3 linked regions of the Lepisosteus oculatus genome follow. The protein of the gene in region 2 purifies or fractionates together with the protein of the main gene of each other region. This does not show direct contact. Links are inferred from orthologs where the notes say so. Each region holds a gene or a part of one and is shown on either strand. Other genes may lie near its edges.

What was found. The genes of interacting proteins can lie anywhere in the genome.
Region 1: the proteins of lig3 (region 2) and parp1 purify together in Homo sapiens (affinity purification with mass spectrometry; 3 studies listed by BioGRID and IntAct, with this or other methods). This does not show direct contact. The link is inferred for Lepisosteus oculatus from reciprocal best matches to the Homo sapiens genes LIG3 and PARP1.
Region 3: the proteins of lig3 (region 2) and tdp1 purify together in Homo sapiens (affinity purification with mass spectrometry; 4 studies listed by BioGRID and IntAct, with this or other methods). This does not show direct contact. The link is inferred for Lepisosteus oculatus from reciprocal best matches to the Homo sapiens genes LIG3 and TDP1.

Annotation. Positions count from the first base shown.
Region 1 is NC_090697.1:55,842,615-55,849,584, forward strand, and holds the start of parp1 (poly [ADP-ribose] polymerase 1), read right to left. Parts: upstream 3,022-6,970; 5' UTR 2,904-3,021; coding exon 2,781-2,903; intron 1-2,780. UniProt on the Homo sapiens protein: Poly-ADP-ribosyltransferase that mediates poly-ADP-ribosylation of proteins and plays a key role in DNA repair.
Region 2 is NC_090721.1:1,741,534-1,749,257, forward strand, and holds the start of lig3 (DNA ligase 3), read right to left. Parts: upstream 3,006-7,724; 5' UTR 2,888-3,005; intron 1,995-2,887; 5' UTR 1,966-1,994; coding exon 1,425-1,965; intron 335-1,424; coding exon 236-334; intron 1-235. UniProt on the Homo sapiens protein: Isoform 3 functions as a heterodimer with DNA-repair protein XRCC1 in the nucleus and can correct defective DNA strand-break repair and sister chromatid exchange following treatment with ionizing radiation and alkylating agents.
Region 3 is NC_090703.1:2,996,757-3,003,744, reverse strand, and holds the start of tdp1 (tyrosyl-DNA phosphodiesterase 1), read right to left. Parts: upstream 3,022-6,988; 5' UTR 2,569-3,021; intron 1,795-2,568; 5' UTR 1,723-1,794; coding exon 1,173-1,722; intron 769-1,172; coding exon 725-768; intron 1-724. Other genes in the region: efcab11 (EF-hand calcium-binding domain-containing protein 11), read left to right, coding at 3,175-3,249, 4,896-4,991. UniProt on the Homo sapiens protein: DNA repair enzyme that can remove a variety of covalent adducts from DNA through hydrolysis of a 3'-phosphodiester bond, giving rise to DNA with a free 3' phosphate.

The DNA.
Region 1 (6,970 bases), on a different chromosome or scaffold from region 2:
TGCAGAGGCTCACTTTAACAATTTTTGACTTGTCTGACAAGATCACTGCCATGCCGAAAAAGCTGCAGCTTTTTGTTAATAAAACAAAGTAATGTCTGTGCTTTCCCAACTTTGGAGAACTATCTGCACACATATAGTGGGGCACCTGATGCTGCTGTTTGTGATGTGATGTGATTGCAGTGCACCTCTTGTCATTGGAAAAACAGTTTTCAGAGTATTTTCCAGTTGAGGCCACACCAGAGTGGCTCAGGAATGCCTTTACTGTTGATGTCATAGGAATACCCAAAGATCTCACCTGTGCTGAACAAGAGTAGTTGCTCGAGTTATCATCTGATGCGACTTTGATGTCAGAATTGAAACACCAGTCACTGTAGGATTTCTGGATCCAAAGACAGAGTGAATACCCAGCCCTCTCATTAGCTGTGTGGTTTTTGATGCCTTCGCTACTAAGGTTGCTGCTGGAAGAGGTGTTAGTGGGGCCAGCAGGGGGACACTATACACTATACTGTAAACAGGCGCCGTCCTTCGGATGAGACGTAAAACCGAGGTCCTGACTGTCTGTGGTCATTAAAAATCCCAGGGCGTTTCTCGAAAAGAGTAGGGGTGTAACCCCGGCGTCCTGGCCAAATTTCCCATCGGCCTTTATCAATCATGGCCTCCTAACAATCCTCCTCTATGAATTGGCTTCATTACTCTGCTCTCCTCCCCACTGATAGCTGATGTGTGGTGAGCGTTCTGGCACACTATGGCTACCGTCGCATCATCCAGGTGGATGCTGCACATTGGTGGTGGTGGAGGGGAGTCCCAGAAAAGTGGAGTGTCCAGAAAAGCGCTATATAAAGTGTAAGCAATTATTATTATTATTATTATCTGCATTCGAAGCTCACTGCCCTCTTCCCTGACATTGCAAGGCTTTGCTTGATTAAACAGGCTCACCCCTGTTTAAATGGTAAGTGCTCAGTGCTATTTTTATTATATGTGTGTGTGCACGCACTCATGTTGGTCATTGAGGTTTTCTGTGGTTCCTATGAGAAGATGACTTGTAGGTGGTACTTTGCTTTTGCTTTGCTTTCATCAGGAGTGGTACTTGGTCCAAAAGGTTTGAGAACCACTGTGATAGAGGATTGCAGCTCTGCACAACACTGTAGGTTTACGTGTGCCTCGTAAGCTACAGGGGTCACCCTCCAGTCAAAAAATGCTGAAACCTGACATTTTGGAAGCATTATGGTCCTGCAGAAAGGCATGTATCATTTGTCAAGTGTTACCCCTAAATCACATAAAAGGGTGGTGCAGGGCAATCAAGAGACCAACATAGAAGCTATATTAAGGTTTCTTGGGGGTGGGGTTGTTCAAGTGTTTCAATACTCCATTTTATTTTCCATATTATGGAGATCAGATTGCTTTTGATAGCATCACATCAATATCGGCAGTATTGTTGTAATGTTTCTTTACATACCCTAAACAAGGGTATGAAACAAAGAAATGTCTATTTTAACGCTGATATCACATTAATAAGTTAAAAGATCGCTGTAATGTCAGCGAATATACAGAAAGAGCCTGCTTTGTGTCCTTCAGGACTCCCTCTTTAACAAAACTCAGACATCACAAATTTAAAAAACGATCAAAAAACGATTTAAACGTGTCGGATTTGTAATCACATTTATAAAACTACTCATTTACGATAACATTAACTACAAAGAAGTTTCACTGCAATGTTTGGGACGTAGATTAAACAACCGGAAAAGCTACAGATGAAGATGTTTTTCGTTAACTAAGAGTTTGAGGGTGCAATTTTTCTTGTACTTCCTGTACTCGAATCCAAAACACTAAATATCCAGAAGTTAAATCACAAGCTTTGGTCTGCAGCCATAAGAGTAACATTACCGCTACAGAAAAATGAAGATGATCATCACACTCCATAGCAAGGGCTATTACATCCCGTCACATCACCGATCACTTACTCCGATTATCAATACATTGCGCTTGAGTCAAAACAAATCAGTGGGCCTCATTTAAGATATTATTTTGATTCTTCTTGCTGTACAACCTCAGCACACAACGGTCTGGAAAACGAAATTACATACTGCATCGATTCTGTGGATTCTGTACAACATGTGAATAAAGTATTTTCCTTGGCTGTAACACAACATTTGTAAAAACAGTACAATATCTGAGTTAAAAGGGACATTAATTAAGTGAAAATGATTACTGATAATGTACTGTATGAGCTGGTACTGCATCATTAATGAAATCAAAACAGTTGTTTATCTTGTTACTTCGTTTACGGATTCAAAATAAAGTTACTAAAAAGTACAAATTTATACTATTGATAATGGTTGCTAAATGTAAGGGAAACTATTCACGAAAACACTGCTTACTACATACTCATCATCTCATGCATGCTTGAAACCGAATAACATGACCTATTTTTACAATCAATGCTTTTTAAACATTACAATAGTTCAATTTCAATTTCGAGACGTTTGAAAACAGACTATAAAACCTTGTGCTTTATGCACCAATCGTGCACCAAGAGGGAATGTTTCAAGAAACATGGTTGGTCTCAAACGCAGACACCGTTTACTCCATCACTTGAGTTGCAATGTAAATAAATCCCAAGTACGGCCTATCAGTTAATGATGCATACTCCATCGAATTATCACAGGATCGAATGTATTTTTTCACTCTGATGGTTCTTTGCTGCGTTAATATATGCATGAACTACATATAAACAAACTTCTTTCTTCCTCATATCAAAGAATGCAAATTACGTGCTTTACCTGCACCATTATAGCCATCCGGAGAGAATCTTTTGCGATATTGTCTTTGCATTTCTTGCAAGAAGCTCGACCACTTTTAGCGTATTCGGCTTTGTACAGCTTCTCCTCTTGTGAATCCGCCATATCGCCCGCTTATTAAATTTTGCAGCTGTATTTTTACTGAGCTGTAACAATCACAGATCACAATGTATGACCCGCGTGGAGCCAAACCGCCTTAGCTCTCAAGCGCAGACTCAACGAATCAAATGATGAGCCTAAGAAAAGTTGCATGGATAAGGCAGAAAACATCGAGCACAATGCAATGATTGAGCAATGTAACGTTTTAACGTTGGTATCGGCAGTCCCCTAATAGATTTACCATTTTGAATAACAGATATATATATATAAATTAAAAATAAAACCTTGATCATTGAAAATTGGGTCAAAAATGGTATAATTTGGGTTAAACAATTTATCAATGCTGAGGGTGAAATATATTGTAGCGCCACGAGGGACGCTTTAGCCATGCGCCCGCAAGGCGGGCTGAGAACAGCACCTGGGGGCGGGACTACGGGACTGTATATAGAGGGATTGAGGCTGGGAGACGGTCTCTTCCTTTCGGGTGTGTGTGTGTAGGTGTGGTACTGTGACTCCATGGCCATGGCCATCTCCGGATCGAGTTATTAAATGTGTTTTTCAGCCTCATTCCCAGAGGCCTATGCCTGCTCCATTCCGTACCTAAGCCCGCGGTTGTTACAATATAATTACAATTGGTTTATTCCATGCTGAAAAAAAGAAAACACAACGTTTAGGCCGTGGAGCCTTCTTCAGGTGTGAGCACACTTAATTTTAAATCACTGGACTTCAAGGTTTTTAACTGGGTAAATTAGATTAATTATTTTGTATGAATCAGAAAGACCCTGCAGAGATTGAAAATCAATACAGATGCTAACTGTGACCTTTCTGAAAGCAGCCCTGAAAGCACACACCTGAAGAAGGCTCCATGGCCGAAACGTTGTTTTCTTTCTTCTTTTTTCAGCATGGAATAAACCTATTGCTTGTTCCTTTGCAGCCTACTCATGCTGACGCAGCTACCCACCTGAACAATATAATTACACTGAGTTTGTTAATAGATATAAAATTTCTATTAATTCTTATCAATATTTCACTCTAACGCGATTCCTAGGGAAATATTGACTCTTTTAAGGAGTTGCAATAGTAGTCCATTAGAAACATTGGAAGAATTTACAGCTTGCATCAGACTAAAAGGAAGGGAAATATTGAGTTGTGGATGTAATACATTTTAAGATCTCTGTTGCAAGATGATAATATCCTCCCTGTTACAGTATATTTGAATTCCTTATTTGTAAAATGGGTTGATTGGAAAAAAAATGGATGATGCCCAATAAATATTGTATAACTTATAAGGTTAAGGAGGTTTCGTACTAAATAATTCATCGAATTTACTCAGTTAAGACCCTTGTTGTCCAGTGATTTAAAATTAATATAGATGATAAATGTGTTTTTTTGTGACAATAGCCCTGAAACTATTGCAACATTTATTTTGGTTACGTCCCATGGTAAAAACTTTCTGGACTGGCAAGCTTACATTAAAAATGAGACCAATATTGATATTTTCTTTGAAGAAATTGATTTTATGTTAAATTTTGCCCCATCGGAAATAATACAAAAAATAATGTTTAATTAACTTAATTATAATGGCACGTTATCATATACACAAAATTAAATGGCCTGGGAAGAATCATATGTTTGAACATTTTAAAATGGATGTAAAGGAGTATCTGCAGACTATTTGAAATTGTAAAAATATGAAAGCGGTGCGGACTTTTTCTTTAATTTGTTTTAGCCTTTTTCATAATTTGTATTTATTTTGCCATATGTACTCCTGACAATGCTTTTGTCTTCAAGTGTTATATGTACTTTTGTTTGTTTTGTATTCGTTGTTGTTGTTAATGCTTAAATACACCTAAATACATTTATTTTTAAAAACATTGGTATCAGAAGTGGAAGAGGCAAAGGGATTTAGTGGCGATGTTTGTGAAGTGCTATTTTTCTTTGTTTTCAAAATTCTAATAATGAATTCTAAGCCAATTACAAAAATACCCACTATTCTGCAAAACATCCAGTTGATTTGATTAAAATACAACATAGACTGAATTTACATTCATATATTCATTCTTAGGATTGAAGCATAGCATATGGCCTCATTTTCTGATGTGTTCTTAATGGAATAGGACCAAAGGGTTTTACATAAGTATTATTTTCTCTGCTCACATAAAGCAATTGGAGTCTTCATCCCTGGTCATGAAATAGTCTGATTCCATCTCATGGGTCATGTCTCATATATAAAAGATGAATAAAAATAGGTCCTGCAGTTCACATCCAAAAAATCAGCACTGATGCTTCAATCGCAGCTGACGTTCAAAAGCCAAAATAAAGCCATGAGAAATGGCAATAACTTTTGAAAAATATTAATGAAGTGAATGAAGGATGCAGGTTAATTATTTACAATATGCTAAAAATACATTTTAAACATCTATGTCTCTATATAAAGACAAAGGTAATTTAACTTTTTTTTAAATTGATTGTTATTTTTCTATATTGATTGAGTATGATTGAGTCATATTGATTTAAAACTTGTTGCACTTCGTCTGTCAATAACTATATAAAAGAGTAAATCTGATAAGCCTTTGAGAATCAGCGCTTTGAGACTGTAATTGCCTTTATGTGAATTGTGGTAAATAGAACTTTTCAGATTGTCTTAATTGTGATTAACTTTACTACAAAATTGTGGCTAAAGTTATGATATAATTGTATTTTCATTAGGTTTTCGGAATTAAACCAATGAAAGGCATTATTTTAAATAGCATTATAATTTACATCAATCTGGGTAATGGCCAAAAGGAAATTAAACACCAGTAGATTTTGCAGTTTCTTTAAGCTTTTTAAATTTATTTATAGTAGGGCAGCCTGGTGGTGCAGTGGTTAGTATTGCTGTTTGTGTGATTGGATACTGGGACACTGGGACAATTGGACAGTGGGGTTCAGTTTCTGGGGTGCCCTAAGTGTAATTGTGTGGGTTTTTTCCAGGACTTCTGGTTTCCTCCTACAATCCAAAGACATACTGGTAGGTTGGTTTATGGAAAAACAGGCCCTGGTGTAATTGTGTGTGTGTTTTTGTGTCTGTGTGTGCCCTGAGATGGCCTGGACTCCTGTCCAGCAAGTATCCCGTTTGGAGCAGTCTGAAAATGGATGGATGTTAATAGTATCCTGCAATTCCTTTTTTATGCTATTTCAAGTGAATCTGCCTGAGTCTCGTATGATTCATATTTCTCATTTTCCTACTTCTTCTATTAGAAGAAATATGGGATTCAATACAGTGCTGTCTAAATGTAAAACCTTTAGCACCAAATTACCTTTTTAACTTCAATACAAAATCCTTTATTACCAATTTGTGATAGTAGTGAAAAGGATTAATCTTTTCTGGCTCTATTAGCATTTCTAATGCCTGCTTTACTTTATACCTCACTTTTATTTTTTAATTCATACACTGTATGTTACTCATTTCTCCACTCTAGGTCTTTATTTCTCCCGTTATTTTTCTTTATTTACATACCTACTTTCATACATTGATCTGATTGTTTTGTGGGTGAATTTACCCTATGGTTATGACTCTATTTCTAACTTGCATCTATCCATTCTCTACTGATTCCACAGCCATTTATGCAAATGTAATCATCACTTCTAGCCATTTCATTCTTTATTAATTTTAATTTAACTCAGATTGTTACATTTGAATTCTTTGTAGACATGTCATAAAATCTTTGTACTGCAGCCTGTTTTATTGCACAGTGATTTCAAAAGGAGGCAGCACCGATGACTTTATGCAGTTGCGATTAAACAAATAAAATAAATTGATCCTTTAAAATAATCTTTGTTATTAATATTGTTAAGAAATACATTTCTAATACATATATTTTACATTACAATGTATCATCAATGTTTAAGAATAATTAGCATGTGAACAGTTTGAGGATTTTACAGTTTAGGACAAAGTGTCTTACAATTTAACTGCATAAAATAAGTACAACATTATATTTGATTCATAATATTAAGCATAATGGTTTGTCAAATGTACCATTTGAGAGTAACTGCTTATTAGTTTAGATTTGTGTTGATTTCAGAAAGGG
Region 2 (7,724 bases):
CCATTTTTATTAACTGGAAATACTCCCGCGATGTCACGTGATCTTTTAGTGGATCATTTTGCCTGTTCTCTTTACTTCAGTTTACACATCAACTGATTAAAACTGTGCTCTAAAAAAGGTTGACTTAGGCAGATTGGAGAAACTTTGACTATTTCTTCCTGCTGCTCGTGGCTTTCAGTTGGCTACAGTACAGGACAGGAAAGAGCAAACTGTGACAATGGCAGCACCTTCTTACCAGTGAATCCAGAGAACTTGCGTGGCGTCACAGGGGACAGGTCAGCCAGGCCAGTCTGAACCTTCTTCTTAGGGCTGTGGTTAGTCTTCGCAGCCAGATCTAGCCAAGCAACCACACACAAAAAACAGTGTCCTGTTAGTTTGTACCCTGCCCCTTTAAGAAATACATTTTTAATTACGCATAGCAACATAAGAGTTACAATAAATCCCAATTTCAAAATTCCTAAAGAATAAGTGGACAATACATAACAGAAAGATATGTTTCCAGATTAATTTTAATAAACATTCTCATGGTAAAATCTGTGAGAATGATTCATGAATAAGTGTTTTGCCTGCTGTCTTCTTAAGCATTATCCATCTCAAGAATTAATGGTTCCCAACTTTTTTTCTTTTTCAGTCATATAAAAGCACACTGGTTCCCAATCTTGGTCCTGAAGGGTCGGTGTGTCTATAGGTTTTCACTACAGCTGAGCTCATAATAACCTAAATCAGAAGATTCTTGTCTTTATTAGACCAGTTTAGCATCTTCTCCTGGCTCTTCAGCTGCTGCTCTAAGGCTGTGGTTCCCAGTCTTGGTCCTGGAGGAACACTATATGATCCTATATGTCAGTCCAGCTGAGCTCTCAAATGTTAAATGCTGACTTATTCTTGCTTGTTTTTACTTGTTTAGGTCAGTCCTGAGTGTCAAGGGTACTGTATCATCATATAGAACTTACACACATAACCTTTCCTTTATCTTAGAGTAAACAGCTCTTACAAATTCATCACCCGGCAATGAACAGACTTAGGTAGGAGTGGCACTGTATCAGACACACCCACAGGTGGGAGTGGCACTGTATCAGACACACATAAATTAAGATTTTGCAGATGTCCAATTGGTTACATTCCAGGCCAATACCAATTGTAAATCCCATTGGTCCTTCTAAGAGCTGAGAGGAAATGTTTCTAACACGAACCATTAGAAAACTGAAATCAATTAGCCGGTGCTTAATAACTCAACTACAAGAAGGAAAACAGACGAGACAGTGTTTCTCCAGGGCCAGCATTGGGAATCACGGCTCTGAAGAGACTTGGGCAACCCGCGGTCCAGAATCAGGACCAGCAGGACTGGGGAGCCAGTGTCATGGATTCAGAACTCCCATTCCCACATTGACTAACTGAAACAGAAGCACCCCCCCCCCCCCCTCCACCTGCAATGTGCTTGTTGATGAGCTCCTTATCCTCATCCTGCACCTCCTCCCAGCCCTCCAGGTCCGTTATGTCCTCGATCCTCCGGGTGGTGATCCGGGCGCGCTCCAGCTTCTCGAACATGCACTTGACGTGGTACCACTCCTTCATGTCGCCCGCGGACTCGCTGAAGGGGTTGGGCACGATCTTGCCGATGCGCACCAGCCCCTTGACGATCTTCTCCTTGCACTTCTTGCAGCCGGCTGTGCCGCGCTTGGCGTACTCCACGCAGTACCGTTGCTCGGGCATGGCCTCGCGCTCGCCGCCGCCGCCACACGGGGACCAGGACAGGTGGAAAGCTCGAGACGCTGGGGTCCGGGCACAGGCGTGCCAAGGCTTGCCGAGGAAGGCCTGGGACCGGGAGCTATAGGCCGCACACGTGGCACTCCGGTGGAAGTTGAAGGACTGAACGGATTCGCTGGCAGAAGCCTGATTCTGGAAGAGTTTGAGCAGCAGTGTGCTGAAAAGTGCTCTGCTTGTTTGGTGGGTGCAGAGTTTAAGCATGAAGCATACCTAGCTCATCACTTTAACACCTGAGGGGGAAGAAAGCATGGAGAATCAGCAGACAGACGAAGATGAGTCGATAAACGCCTTTCACAGAAAAGTGAGCAATGGAGAACTTCTCCTGGAGCTTTTTCCAGGTCGCGCCATAGCGGATTCGATTACTAGTTTTTTTTCTGTCTTTATCAAGAAAAGTGCCCAGAAAACAACGCTTTTCCTTCATGAGTTTAGTTTCAGCGTGAGCCTGGGCTTTTTGACCGAAGTTGTGAATTGGGTGCAGTTGATTAAAAAAAAACTCGGCAAAGTCCCCTTAAATGCAGCTGCTATTCTACAAAATATCTTGTGCCAAAAGAAATCGGTTCCGCGAGAACAGATGTTTTTTTTTCTCATTAAGCAACATTCTAACAGAAGGCAGCCTGTTTCCTTAATCTCTGTATGACTACAATGTTGCACCATGCAGGATAGTCTTAAATTATGATATTATACTGTACCAGGCAAATGAAGATATTCTAAGATTATCACCCTTCATGGCTGATAATCATAAACACTTTACGTGGTTTCAAGCTGAAATAGTTATGTCATCAACATTTTTGTCCACTCTATTCGGCTTTTAAATTAAAAAATAAAATTCGTAGTGCAAAGCACACTTTCTTCAACTTGACCGATTTTAGTATTGTGTGAAAACACAAAAATGGCTTAACTAAAGAGCAGATAGATTATAGATGGCCTTAATTTCCCACCACTTCGAGTTTGCTGTTTGCTGTAACGCACAAGTTCCCAGTAAAATGTCTTTCGCTTTTAGAATCCACTGTGCCGTGCTCGACCACAGCTAAAACAGACATTTTAATTTCCCAACGCCACGGAAAAAATCAGGAACCTTATGTAAAATGCACTTTACAATAAAAATGCTTAAGACCATGCTTACCGGTGTTATTCGTTTGTTACAGATGTGTTTGTGCTATTTTTGTACTTATCATTTTCTCCACTGTAGTGTGTTATTTTCAATGTGAGGTTTCCCCTTTAAACACCAGCCACGTTCCCCTTTTGTTTCCTGTCATATCCCACAGTGCGCATGTGCGACAGTTAAAAGTTTTATGCCGACAGAAATTCAGGTGTAAGCCGTGCCGGGGTATATCTTTAAAAATAACTGTAAAGCTATTAAACAGTGAACTATAAGTTTTGTTTCTTTAATTATTACTACACTGTCGCAAAGCTGCTGTAATTATGACTGCCATAGTTACAGCATACAGCGAATATAACATAAGAAGGTTTATAATCGAAATGGGGCTATTTATCTAGGCTAGCTCATGTGATTACGGGTAGGTCATTGATCAAAGGATCATTCAGGCTTTTTTTGAAAGAAGCTAGCCGCAATGTGTTTAAGCAGTTTACTCCAGATCCTCCCAGATATCTGTGTAAAGGTCTGAGACTTGTTTTTTTATGAAAGCCTTTTTTCAGGTTTGGTCGGCGGTGAGGTTTCAATATTCGCCTTGTCCTCTAGATGGAAGCATCGCTCTTTCACTGGAGATCTGTTTTGTCATAAGACTCCACAAAAGCACGCTTCTTCATGATCCAAAAAAGAAACTGGCATTGTATTTCTTTTCTACATGCACCCCACCATCACACAACCAAACAGTGACTGTCTATTGCCTTTTCCAATGTGATTGGACCCAAGAGACTGAAGAACTGGCTAAGCCCACATTGAAGAAAGCATGTGCCCTAAACGTAGAAAAAGAAACCAAGCTTCAAGAAGCCAGTCAGACGATACCTCCGATATCCATCCATCTGAAATCCTGACTGAGGGCATTATCTTCCCCACTCCTTTATACAGAAGCCCTCGATTTATTTTGCCCCAGGAAGACTTCTGTTATGGGGCTTTTTTTCTGCACCATGGACTCTTAAGTTACAGATCAGATATAAAAACTTTTATTGTTTCCTAACAGTATTAAATGTCAGTGCTTTCATTTGGCAACAGTATATCTGCTTCTGTTACATTGCAATGAGGGAAATATCAGAAAGTGAGGATTTATCACCGAAGTCCTTGTAGAAAAGCTAAGCCAGGTTCGTTACCTGTCATTCCTCATCTCAAGAAGCAGAGAATGTTACTATACGTAACACACCAGGCCATGGTATGTATTCATATGCTACACAGAGAGAAAAAAATCCAGGGTTACAGGTAACAATTAACACCTAAAGCTGCAGTCTGTTTTCTGGAAATTACTTGTGGGGGGACTGAACATAAGCAAGTTATTAGGTCTTATTTGAGTTTGGAACAACAAGGCCTTTTCTAGTGCACTGCACGCCCTCTGGTGTTCAGCAAGGAGTTTTGCTGCCACCTGCCACAATTCTTCAACAGTCGCTCAGGAAATGTAATGACAAAGGGCTCAATTCACAGATGATAGCATGTGCATCAGTTGATATATGGGGATTTAACAATTCAAATGCTAGTCTAATTGAATTTATTATTTTTTGGAGATACGCAATAGCTTGCCATCGGGATAACTCCTTTCTTCATCCTATCTACTGTATCTTTATGTCAGGTCAGATTAAAGTAGAAGATCAATCAGGTCACTGATAGCCTGTCTCGCTTCACATAGACAAGCAATTAAATTTTGGTTTAGAGGGAGACGTTTTCAAAAAGGTTTTTTTCTGAGCTCCCTGGTTTCCTCCCACCTCCTAGAGATTCATTTATGTCTTTGATTTATCTGTGTATGAATGAGTGTCTCCGGGCAAGTGCCCTATACTTGCAGAAAAGACTCTGGGCATTACCAGGAATAAGTGGCTTTCTTATGATGTGGGAAGGAACCTTTTAAATGATATATTTATGTGCAGAAACTGAAAAAAAAAACGTCATAATTTTGCTATTGTTACAGATAGGGGGTATAGATAATAGAAAGTGGGCAATAAAATAATTAAAATAAAATACATTAACACAAGGAGTACGCAGTTGTGGCACATGAGTTTTGGCACATGCTTTGTTTATTCTCTGGCACAGTCCTGGTGAAAGAGCAATTAATCCATTTGCAGAGAACTGCAAACGTTTTTCTGAGATGTGAACTTTCAAGATGTGAGTGGCTAACAGATATCACAACCACTGTAACAGGATGCATCTCAGAGGAACACTTTTTTTTCAGTCACCTACCTGAAGTACCTGAACTTGACTTGACTAGATTCATATTTTTCTCACGTTTACAAGTAACTCCTTCAAGGAAAAATTCCAGAAATAAGTTTACCGAAGACACAAAAGGCGAATTGATTTTGACCATGTCTCACTTTCACTCTCCTCTCTTTGAAGGAAGTGAAAAGACTGTGATACATTTCCAAACTCAATTAGAGAGCCTGCCAATGAGGTAGTGGTCCCACGAGGTGGGGAAACTTAATTAAGTAACCTGGCATTCAATGGTTGCTGCTCCACGATTAACAGTTAAACACAAGAAAATGAAGTCTTGCAGTTGTTTGAGCCCCATTACTTGAAGAAACGTGACTCCAAAAGCCCTCACACGGCAAATTGAAGCCAGATTTGATTTGGAAATCTGTCAAAGTGCCCAGGACACAGATCACTTTCCCAGGCACAAGAGCAATATTCTTTTCTTTGCTCGTAAAGTTCTTTGTTTTATTTTGCAGCATTAATTAAAGAGGTTAAAATACCACTTCATCTACATCACTGATCACTTTCAGTGCTTCTTTGCACTCATAAAATACAAGCTGAACTAATTGTTCAAAGGTACAGAAAACTTGCAGTGCTGGGAGAGTTGTTTCAGCTTCTTTCTCTGTTAGTAAACACTGTATGTTCTAGGTGCTTCTGCTCCCAGGAGACGTAAGAAAAAGCAGTAGTCGTGTGTTTGTGTGGGTTTCCTCCTGCTGTCCAATGGTGTATTTGGAAGTTAATTGGCTTCTATGAAATTGGCCTTGGTGTGAGTGTGAGTGTTTGTGTCTGTGTGTGTGTGTCCCCTGCAATGGACTGGCAGACCACCCAGGGTGTATCTCATCTTGTGCCTGTTGCTTGTCAGGTCTGGTTCTGTCTCCCTCATGGCCCTGTATTGTACTGTGGTTCGAACATGGATAGATGGTTTAGTAATGAGCTTCACCTTATACTACAGGATATGCTGTGTGGCCCTGTAGATGAAAGAAGAGAGAGAATTTTCAGTATGACTTTTAAAGGTTATGAACAGCTGCAGTAGTGCGCCAGTTCTATTACATTTGTACATGTACAGTATTCTTTTTCTCATATTCTGTGCTCTTTGTAGCTTGCAGCCCTGGACAATTGTCCTAACTATCTTTGATGGCTCTAATCCTAACCCTGTTCTCCCCACACACAATGGGTGGCTATGTACAGTAAGTAATTCATTTTAATGATCCATTCTCCAAATGTCATCTCAAGTCAGATGAAGACAGATGTAATAATTGAGCAAGTGACAGGGTTGCTATGTAAATGACTAATTAATTTAATGACCAGCTCTGCTGATAAGGCCTAGAGTAAAAATAGAATCTGTCTCTCCAGTACCATTAAGAATTCTACTCAAAGACCTTGGTGTGAGCCCTTCATTTCAACAAATAGAGCAACAGAAAGCAGGAGGAGAAGCAAACACTTATGATAAAAAGAAAATATGTCAGTTATGATCTGCAGCAGCCCTACAGAACATCCCCTTGCTTTAAAAATAGTTTTGGGGGTTGCTGTTCAAATACAAATCTTTGAGTTGTGCAGGTTTACAGACTTCATTTGATTATTCAATAGACACACACTTAGGCAAAATATATTAATATATTAATTCACAGTGCTGTAGTGACTGGTTTTGTCACACAAGTTCACTACTAGAGAAAAAACAGACTTATGAAAAGTGGTCTTTAGTCCCTTTAAGTCCATTTTAATTCAAAATGTTTGAAAGCTACAGTGAACAATGTTGTTTAGTGAGCCAATCCTGTTGCCCCAAACAACAATTCTCTTTATCTGCAAATATATTTTTTTTCTAATTTTTAAGATAAGAAAAATTAAATTTCCTAGAGAGCCACTCTCCTGGAGTGTATTAATAAATAATACTCATTGGAACATTACACTCACCTGGTAAGTCTCTGAATAATGAACATGTTGGCTTTCCTAATTCATTTGGCCGTAAGGCGGATGCACATATCTCTGTTTTCAGCTGACAGAAATAAATATTGCATCATTGTTATTGCCCTCAATTGCCGCCCACCAAAATGTCAAGGCATTTAATCTGAAATTTTTTGTGCTGCCTCTGTCTCTTTTTTTCTCTCCCGCCATTGATCAACAGCAGTGACTCAGTGAAGAATCTGGTGGAGGCTTTCCAAAAACCAGCGTCTGAAAATTGGAATGAAGCTCTGGCGCCACAAGGTTGTATTTAAATCGTTTGATTTCCAATTTAGCACACCTGGCATCCACAGAGCCCCCCCGAGACTCCGTCCTGCTGATTAACTCTGTGATGAGCCGCTGTGGCAACAAGCAATCTCCTCACTTTCTTCGCTGTCTTGCAGAATTTACTGCTGCTCTGGGGCCGGGCTGAGGCAGGCAGGTCTTGAAAGTGCAGCCTGCAAAGGTTTTCAAAGCCAGCCAAATGTAAAACCTAGGAAAATGGTCACCTAACAAGACAAAATGCATTAAATCACAGTATTAATATTGCTGTTATATACTTATAAACTTTCCCCTCCATCAGGTGATGGAGAACCTTTTTCCCATTCCTTTTTGGAAGGTTATTCTTGTTTTCAACAATTTTTTTTCACTGCAACGTTCACTATCCCCCATGGCA
Region 3 (6,988 bases), on a different chromosome or scaffold from region 2:
TAAACTGAAGAACCACTTCACTTTATTTGTGCCAACTGTGTACAACCATGAATTGTTTACCTTTCACCCAGGAATTTCATTATCACAAATGTATTAACACTTTAAATAAAAGATCCATTACTTAACAGTAGCTCATTGGTTTCACACCTTTTACAGTAATTTCAGGAATACCCAGGATGAGCTGAAAAGGACTGGGAAAGAGGTCTTTCAAAATGAGTGGAAATTAGTGACTGAAAAGATCTCTCCAATGTGCCCAAGTGCAACTGAAACACAGCCTAGATACATCCTGGAACGGAGATGTCAAACTTAAGAAATTCATCCACCTACGCTGGTTTCATGGTTTTCTAAGTCATTTTTGAACTACTGTCACTGGACAGAATCATGTGTGCTGTTCACAACACAGTGTAGCTCTTTCAATAGTTTCTCACTGTCACACAACAGTCCCCAAGTCCTACAGAAAAATCAACTCACTCAGTCAAAAAATATTGTACAGCCACTTACAATCTTGATCACTTGATCCTGTAGACAGTGTGTTCTCTGTGATTATTTTTAATTGTTTTAACTGTGCTTTTTTTTAAATGACAGCGAGCAAAAATATTCATAACTCATAAAATTCATAACGCGCATATGATTGAACAAAACTAAATGTATGAACAGAACAGTAAGACAGACACTTCATCTCTCGCACTTCATGAATACCCGCAGGACTCAGGAAATTGCTCACCTGAACAGATTCCTTCAGCGTCCCAAATAAAGGAGAGAGGATATCTGATAAAGAACAATTGAAACCAGTTACTTCAGTATCGCTCAGCACTGTGAACCTCCAGGCAAAACAAGACAAAAATCATCCTTCTATACAGAAGCAATATGGTCCTACAGTACACTCACCATTTCCAATTGTAGATGACAAGATGTGAACCCTCCCCCCAAAAAAAGCAAAGCAAAACAAATGATTTCATGCACAGCTCCAATCTTGGGGAGTCACAGAATATATGGGTTCTCCTTGCACCTTTCTTCTCATGACCTAATTGAGCAGACTGGACTAATTTAAGTGTTCAAGGACCTGCAGCTGCTGGCTATTCTGAAGAGGCCCAGAGAGCCCCCCAGACCCTGACCCGTGCCCTGATGCGTCCACCCCTTGAATCCGCAACACGCCGGCTCACTGCGTTTACCTTTAATGTTCAGAGCCCCCACGTTGTACTTCCTCTCTATGCCTGTCACTTTGGTGAGGTAAAAGCAGAAGGGTTCACTTCCTTGCAGCACGTCCCAGGTGTCCAAGGTCTCATCCACCTCTGGCTCACGTGAGGCTAACGGCACCCTCTCCGGCACACTGCTCTCCTTGTCAAGCTTGACCCTTTTGGGACTGGGCAGACAGGTCTTGGTTTGTTTCTGGCTCTCTGGCTCAGAGTCAGACCCCTCATCACTGCTTGAGAGGGCCCAGCCAGAGTCCTCCGGCTCCGTCTTCCTCTTGAGGGCGAGGTACATCTCCCCAGACGCGCCTGGAGATTCAGTTTTCACGGGTTCCCACGGGCTAGAGGCTTGTCCAGCTTCAGATCCAGGAGACGAAGGGAATAAATCCAGCTCATCCTTCGCCTCAAGCAGCTGGTCTGTCTGTCGGATGTTGTCTGAACTGAAGTACTGAGTCCTACTCTGTACCAAGGCAGAGTCTTCCTCATCGCTGCTGGACAGAGTCCACTTTCCATGCTGGCTCTCCTGCGACATCCCTGAGGTAAGTGAAATAAACGCAGGATAGGAGCAAAATCTGCCTTATTCAACACAGAAGACCTATTTGTGCTGAAACAAATCAACGAAAAAAACACATGACTGCGTCTGTGTTTATCCTTGGTCCAGCATATAACTAAAAGAGTGTGGGTCTTCCGTTTAATAATGCCACCACACAAATGGTAAACCAGGCAACGCCACGTGAAGCAAATATCTTATTATTCACCAGTCGGTGCCACCGAAATTCCAGCCCTCGTTTTCTGCACAAAATTGTCTCAGGTGAAAATCAACGTCATCTAAAGACGTACTGTAACAAATTAGGCAAGGATCGTAAACGTTAAAATAAAATGTAACTTAAGGAGTAACATCTAGGTCGCGCCTGAACTTTTTGTTAGAATGGAAACACTAAAGACGTACATACGGAAGGTTCAATCTCAAAAGATAGGAAGCGGTATTAATCCTCGGAAAGAGATTGTTTTTGAGTTGTTATGCCAGGTTATAAGGGGATTTTTAATGTTAGCTCTCATAGATAAGATTGGTTGTATTCATAACAGACTTTCGGCGTCCGGAAGAGGGGTTCTGTTTCTCCAATGGAGACTGCAAGCATGCAATAACATCGTGCAACTTTACACGAAAAAAACTGCAAGCAATACTGAACGCACCTACTGATAGTAGCACCATTGCTAATAGCAACAACATCCAGCAGTCTGTTTTCCAAACTATTTAGTAAAACAGCCTAACATACACTTTTGCATAATTGTTTGTTCGTTTCCGGCTTCCTAGTTTTCACTTTTTATAAACCTTCACTATAAATGGACGCCGTGTAATACAAACTTAAAAACTTACTGAAAAGGCAATAAAACGGTGCAGGGTGCTTTTCCAGACGAGAAATTCACAACTGGGTTTAGAATTAAATGATGGTTGGTAAAGTAATGTGGTTGAAAACGTATTACTAAAACAATAAAATATCTAAAACTTTCTTTATTCCATTATTTCCAAATAACAGAACTGTTTAAGGCTGCAGGTATTTTAATTTTAACTACAACGCCCCCGCCATTAAGCTTTGTCGACCCCCTATGTTCAGAAAAAATGGTGCAACAACATTTTAGTTCCCCGGACGACAAAAATTTCAAACATTAGCAACGTCTGTTACAAGCCACGATAGCATTGACATGCTTGACGAAAAACTAGAACTTAGTGGTATGGGAAATAGCCTTTTTATTAAACGGACTCTAATAAATCGTTAAGATGAAGAGAGACGTAGCATAAACTTAAAGTCAAAACATTTTGATGACGACTTCGCCCTAGAAACGGAAGCCCGCCCGGCTGAGCCAATCACGTTCCGGATTGCACACCTGCCAACCTGAACGGACCAATCAAGCGTCACCTTACAGTATCCAAGCGGTTCTTTAAAAAACTGATGTGGTTTCCGTAAATACAGTTTAGTTTGCAATGTTTTCGTACAAAACTAGTCTTGGCAGGCAAGAACCGAAAATTTCCGAAACTGATATAAAGAAGTTCACCTCGGTAAGAACCATTTTAACTTGGAATGATATTTACTGTCACAGTGCAATTCTGTTATCTTGGGAAATGTACATTGATTATTATTTTTGTTATCAGCCACTATGTCGAACCAGGCAAGTCAGTTGAAACAGATTTTCACAATGGTGACCTTGCCAAGAGGATAAGGCCAATACAGCGCGGAAAACGAGCGGGTGAAGCCACGTAACGTTAGACACGGTTGAACGGTGACTCAGAAATCATTTGACAAAACTGTCGGGAACGATTTTGATGTCAGGGTAGGAATGACTTAATTTTGCGCCCCAAAGCAGTAGTTGGTTGAGGTTTAATTTGTTTGCAGTTTACCCCCTTAAATAGTAGGATAGTACGAACTACGGTTATAAATTATGCATACAGGAAGGTGTTTTTCCAACTAAACTGAAACTAGAGAAGTATTCGTCTGGTATACAGAGAAAACCAAAGAGTAAAGAAAACAAGTAATTTCTGGTTCATAGCCAGCAGCTTTATCACCCTGCAGCTCACAGCTGTCATATCCTTCAGATGAGCTGTAAAACTGAGGTCCTGACCCTCCATGGCAAAAACTACTAAACTGAAACTAGAGAAGTATTCGTCTGGTATACAGAGAAAACCAAAGAGTAAAGAAAACAAGTAATTTCTGTATTGGCCTTATCCTCTTGGCAAGGTCACCATTGTGAAAATTGTGAAAATCTGTTTCAACTGACTTGCCTGGTTCGACATAGTGGCTGATAACAAAAATAATAATCAATGTACATTTCCCAAGATAACAGAATTGCACATTCTCGGAAATAGTAGGGGTGTAACCCCGGTGTCCTGGCTAAGTTTCCAACTTGTCCTTTACCAGTCATGGCCCCCTAATAATCCCCATCTCTGGACTGCCGTTATCACTTTCTTCTCATCCCCGCTGAGAGCTGGTGTGTGGGGAGAGTACTGGCGCACTCTGGCTGCCGTCGCATCATCCAGGTGGGGCTGCACGTTGGTGGTGGTGGTGGAGGGGATCCCCATTACCTGTAAAGCACTTTCAGTGGAGTGTCCAGGAAAGTGCTATATTATTATGGCTAGCAGCCATATCACCCTGCAACTCACAACTGGTAACCCGCTGACGCTAAGCAGGTGTGAGCCTGGTCAGTACCTGGATGGGAGACCTCCTGGGAAAAACTAGGGTTGCTGCTGGAAGAGGTGTTAGTGGGGCCAGAAGGGGGCGCTCGCTGATGTATAACCCACATCACCATAGTGCAGGATGGGGAGTGGCCTCTGCACCTGTCAGTCATTTCTTTTTGCCAATTGAAACAAAATAGGAGCATCTGCTAGTAGTTCAGGAGGTGTAGTGGGTGGGTTCTGAATCCAGTCCTGGACTGGGGTGCCTTCTACGTAAAATTGACTCTCCCTGTATTTGTTTGGGTTCTGCCCAGTTCCCTCCCACCTCTCAAAAACATGGTCGTTTAGCTTGACTGGCATCTCCGAATCGTCCCTTGTGGGCGTCCTAGGGCTGGCATCTAGTGGGAAATCCTGCCTGGAGCCCGCTGTCTCCAGGATAGGCTCTGGGTTGCCATGACCCCAGCCTGGCATAATTTCTTAAAGCTTTAAGAATAAAGGATGGGTAGATACTAATTTCATCCTTTTGGTCAACACAGGTTTTTCAGCAATGTGATGAAAGCAAGAAAGGGTACTTAGACAGAGAGGATCTGAAGATTGCCATAGTCATGATATTTGGCTACAAGCCATCAAAGGTAAGCTTGCAATTGTCCAGGTCTTGCAGATTGCCATCAGTGTACTTGTTCTTAAGCCCACTGGAAAACTGGGTTGCAAAGACCGTCTACAGACATGACCGATTACTTCTAAACGAGATGAGTTGCATTGGTCTTGACGCAAAGATCCAAAAATGTTCAAGCTAGAATGGAAGGCCGACAAGTCACAGAAAAGCCAAAGACATTCTGCCTTCTGGGAAAGTGGCCCTGAGTGTGATTGTGTGCCCTGCAATGGACTAGCGTCCCGTCCAGCGTGTATCCTGCCCTGTGCCCATTATGTTATTGATTGGCTCTGGCTCCGCTGCGACCCTGGATTGGAAGAAGTGGTTAGGAAATGGATGGATGGCTGGTGTCAAACATGGCAAATTCCTCAAATATCCATGCCTTACAAAAACAATAGGGAGTGTAAGTGTAAAACTATTTAAACAATTATCTATTTTAATAAATGATTCAGGTATTTGCATTAATTGAAAATAAATTGGAAAAAGGCTTTCTGCTTTGCCAGTGTTGCATACTATTCTGTTTCACCCATTGTGCTGTCTTAAGGCAGTAGAGGGCACTGTCGCTTTTTTCTCGTTTGATACTTGTGATGAGATTAAACAAGACAAGAAACGGATGTAATTTTAATGTGACAGTCAGTATTTCTTGTAATATTTCAATTCTGCAAGGAAATCTGTACCTGGTGCTTTCACCCTAGATCAAAGAAATGGCAGTTTGGATTTCATGGGAGTTGTTTAAAGTGCTGAAGATCCGTTTGTTCCAACTAGAAACCTGTTGTAATTCTCCCCATTAGATTTTCTTTATAATCTTCCAAATGTACACAGAGATTTTTGCGTCTGGGACTTCTTGGGAATTGCTGTGCTTTTGTCACTTTAAAGTTCTTTCTAATGGCAAATAAGCCCAGCATCGTTACCACCTCACGGCCTGATCTTGTCACGTGTTCAAGGCTAAGCAAGGCAGGGACTTGTCAGGACTTGGATGAGAGACTTCCAAGGAAAACTGGGTTGTTGCTGTCATTGGAATTACTGGAAAATAGGTGACGCTGTTTCAACTGGATGAGAATTTCCACACGAATGCCCTGGTATAATGGGTAGTGACATGGCACTGTGGGATGTGCCATCTTTGAGATGAGACATTAAGCCTCTTTGACTACTTTGTTATTAAAAATGTCATCACGCTATTCATTAAGAGTAGAGGTGTTGATGCCGGTGTCCTGAGTAAATTCCATGCTGGGCTCGTGCAGTCTGACCTTCCCGAGGTTCCCAATCAGATAACTGGTGAAGCGGTTTCTCACTTCTCTATCTGATCTACTGTGTAGTGGGGATGCTATTTTGGGATCTTATGGGGTTAAAAGTGTTCTATGAATTAATTATCATGGAAGATTTTTCAACAGAAATTAATTTTTAGTAGCCCGAAGAAGGCTAAAACAGCACATCCCTCCATTTTCTAACCACTTTATCCAATACAGAGTCGTGGGGACCCAGAGCCTATGTCAGCGAGCAGCGGGCGAAGGCAGGATACAGCCTGGATGGGACGCCAGTCCATCACAGGGCACACACACTCGCACCAGGGCCAGTCTTCCCAGAGGCCAATTAACTAGTATGCCATTGGACTGTGGGACAAAACCCATGCAACCAACATGTGAACATGCAAACTCCACACAGGAAGCTCCCCAGGAAGTGGACCCAGGGCCTCCGTACTAAACCCATAATTTCAGTTGACATTGGCCACAGAACTTTAAATAACAGCTGCCAAGATTTAAACATACGCAAGAATTTGAAGAAAGCAAGATGCTGCCAGTTTGGGTAGACCTTGTGTTTATAGAAGTGCAGTTTACCGATATCGGTTATAGAATTCTATAGTGTTTTTGTTAAGAGTGGTCTGCAACTTTAAATTAAGTCACGTTGTGCTGTTGGTTTGTGCAACATTAGTTTTGTAAATGCTAACGTAGTGGTTTAACCACACCTCGCCCCTCAATA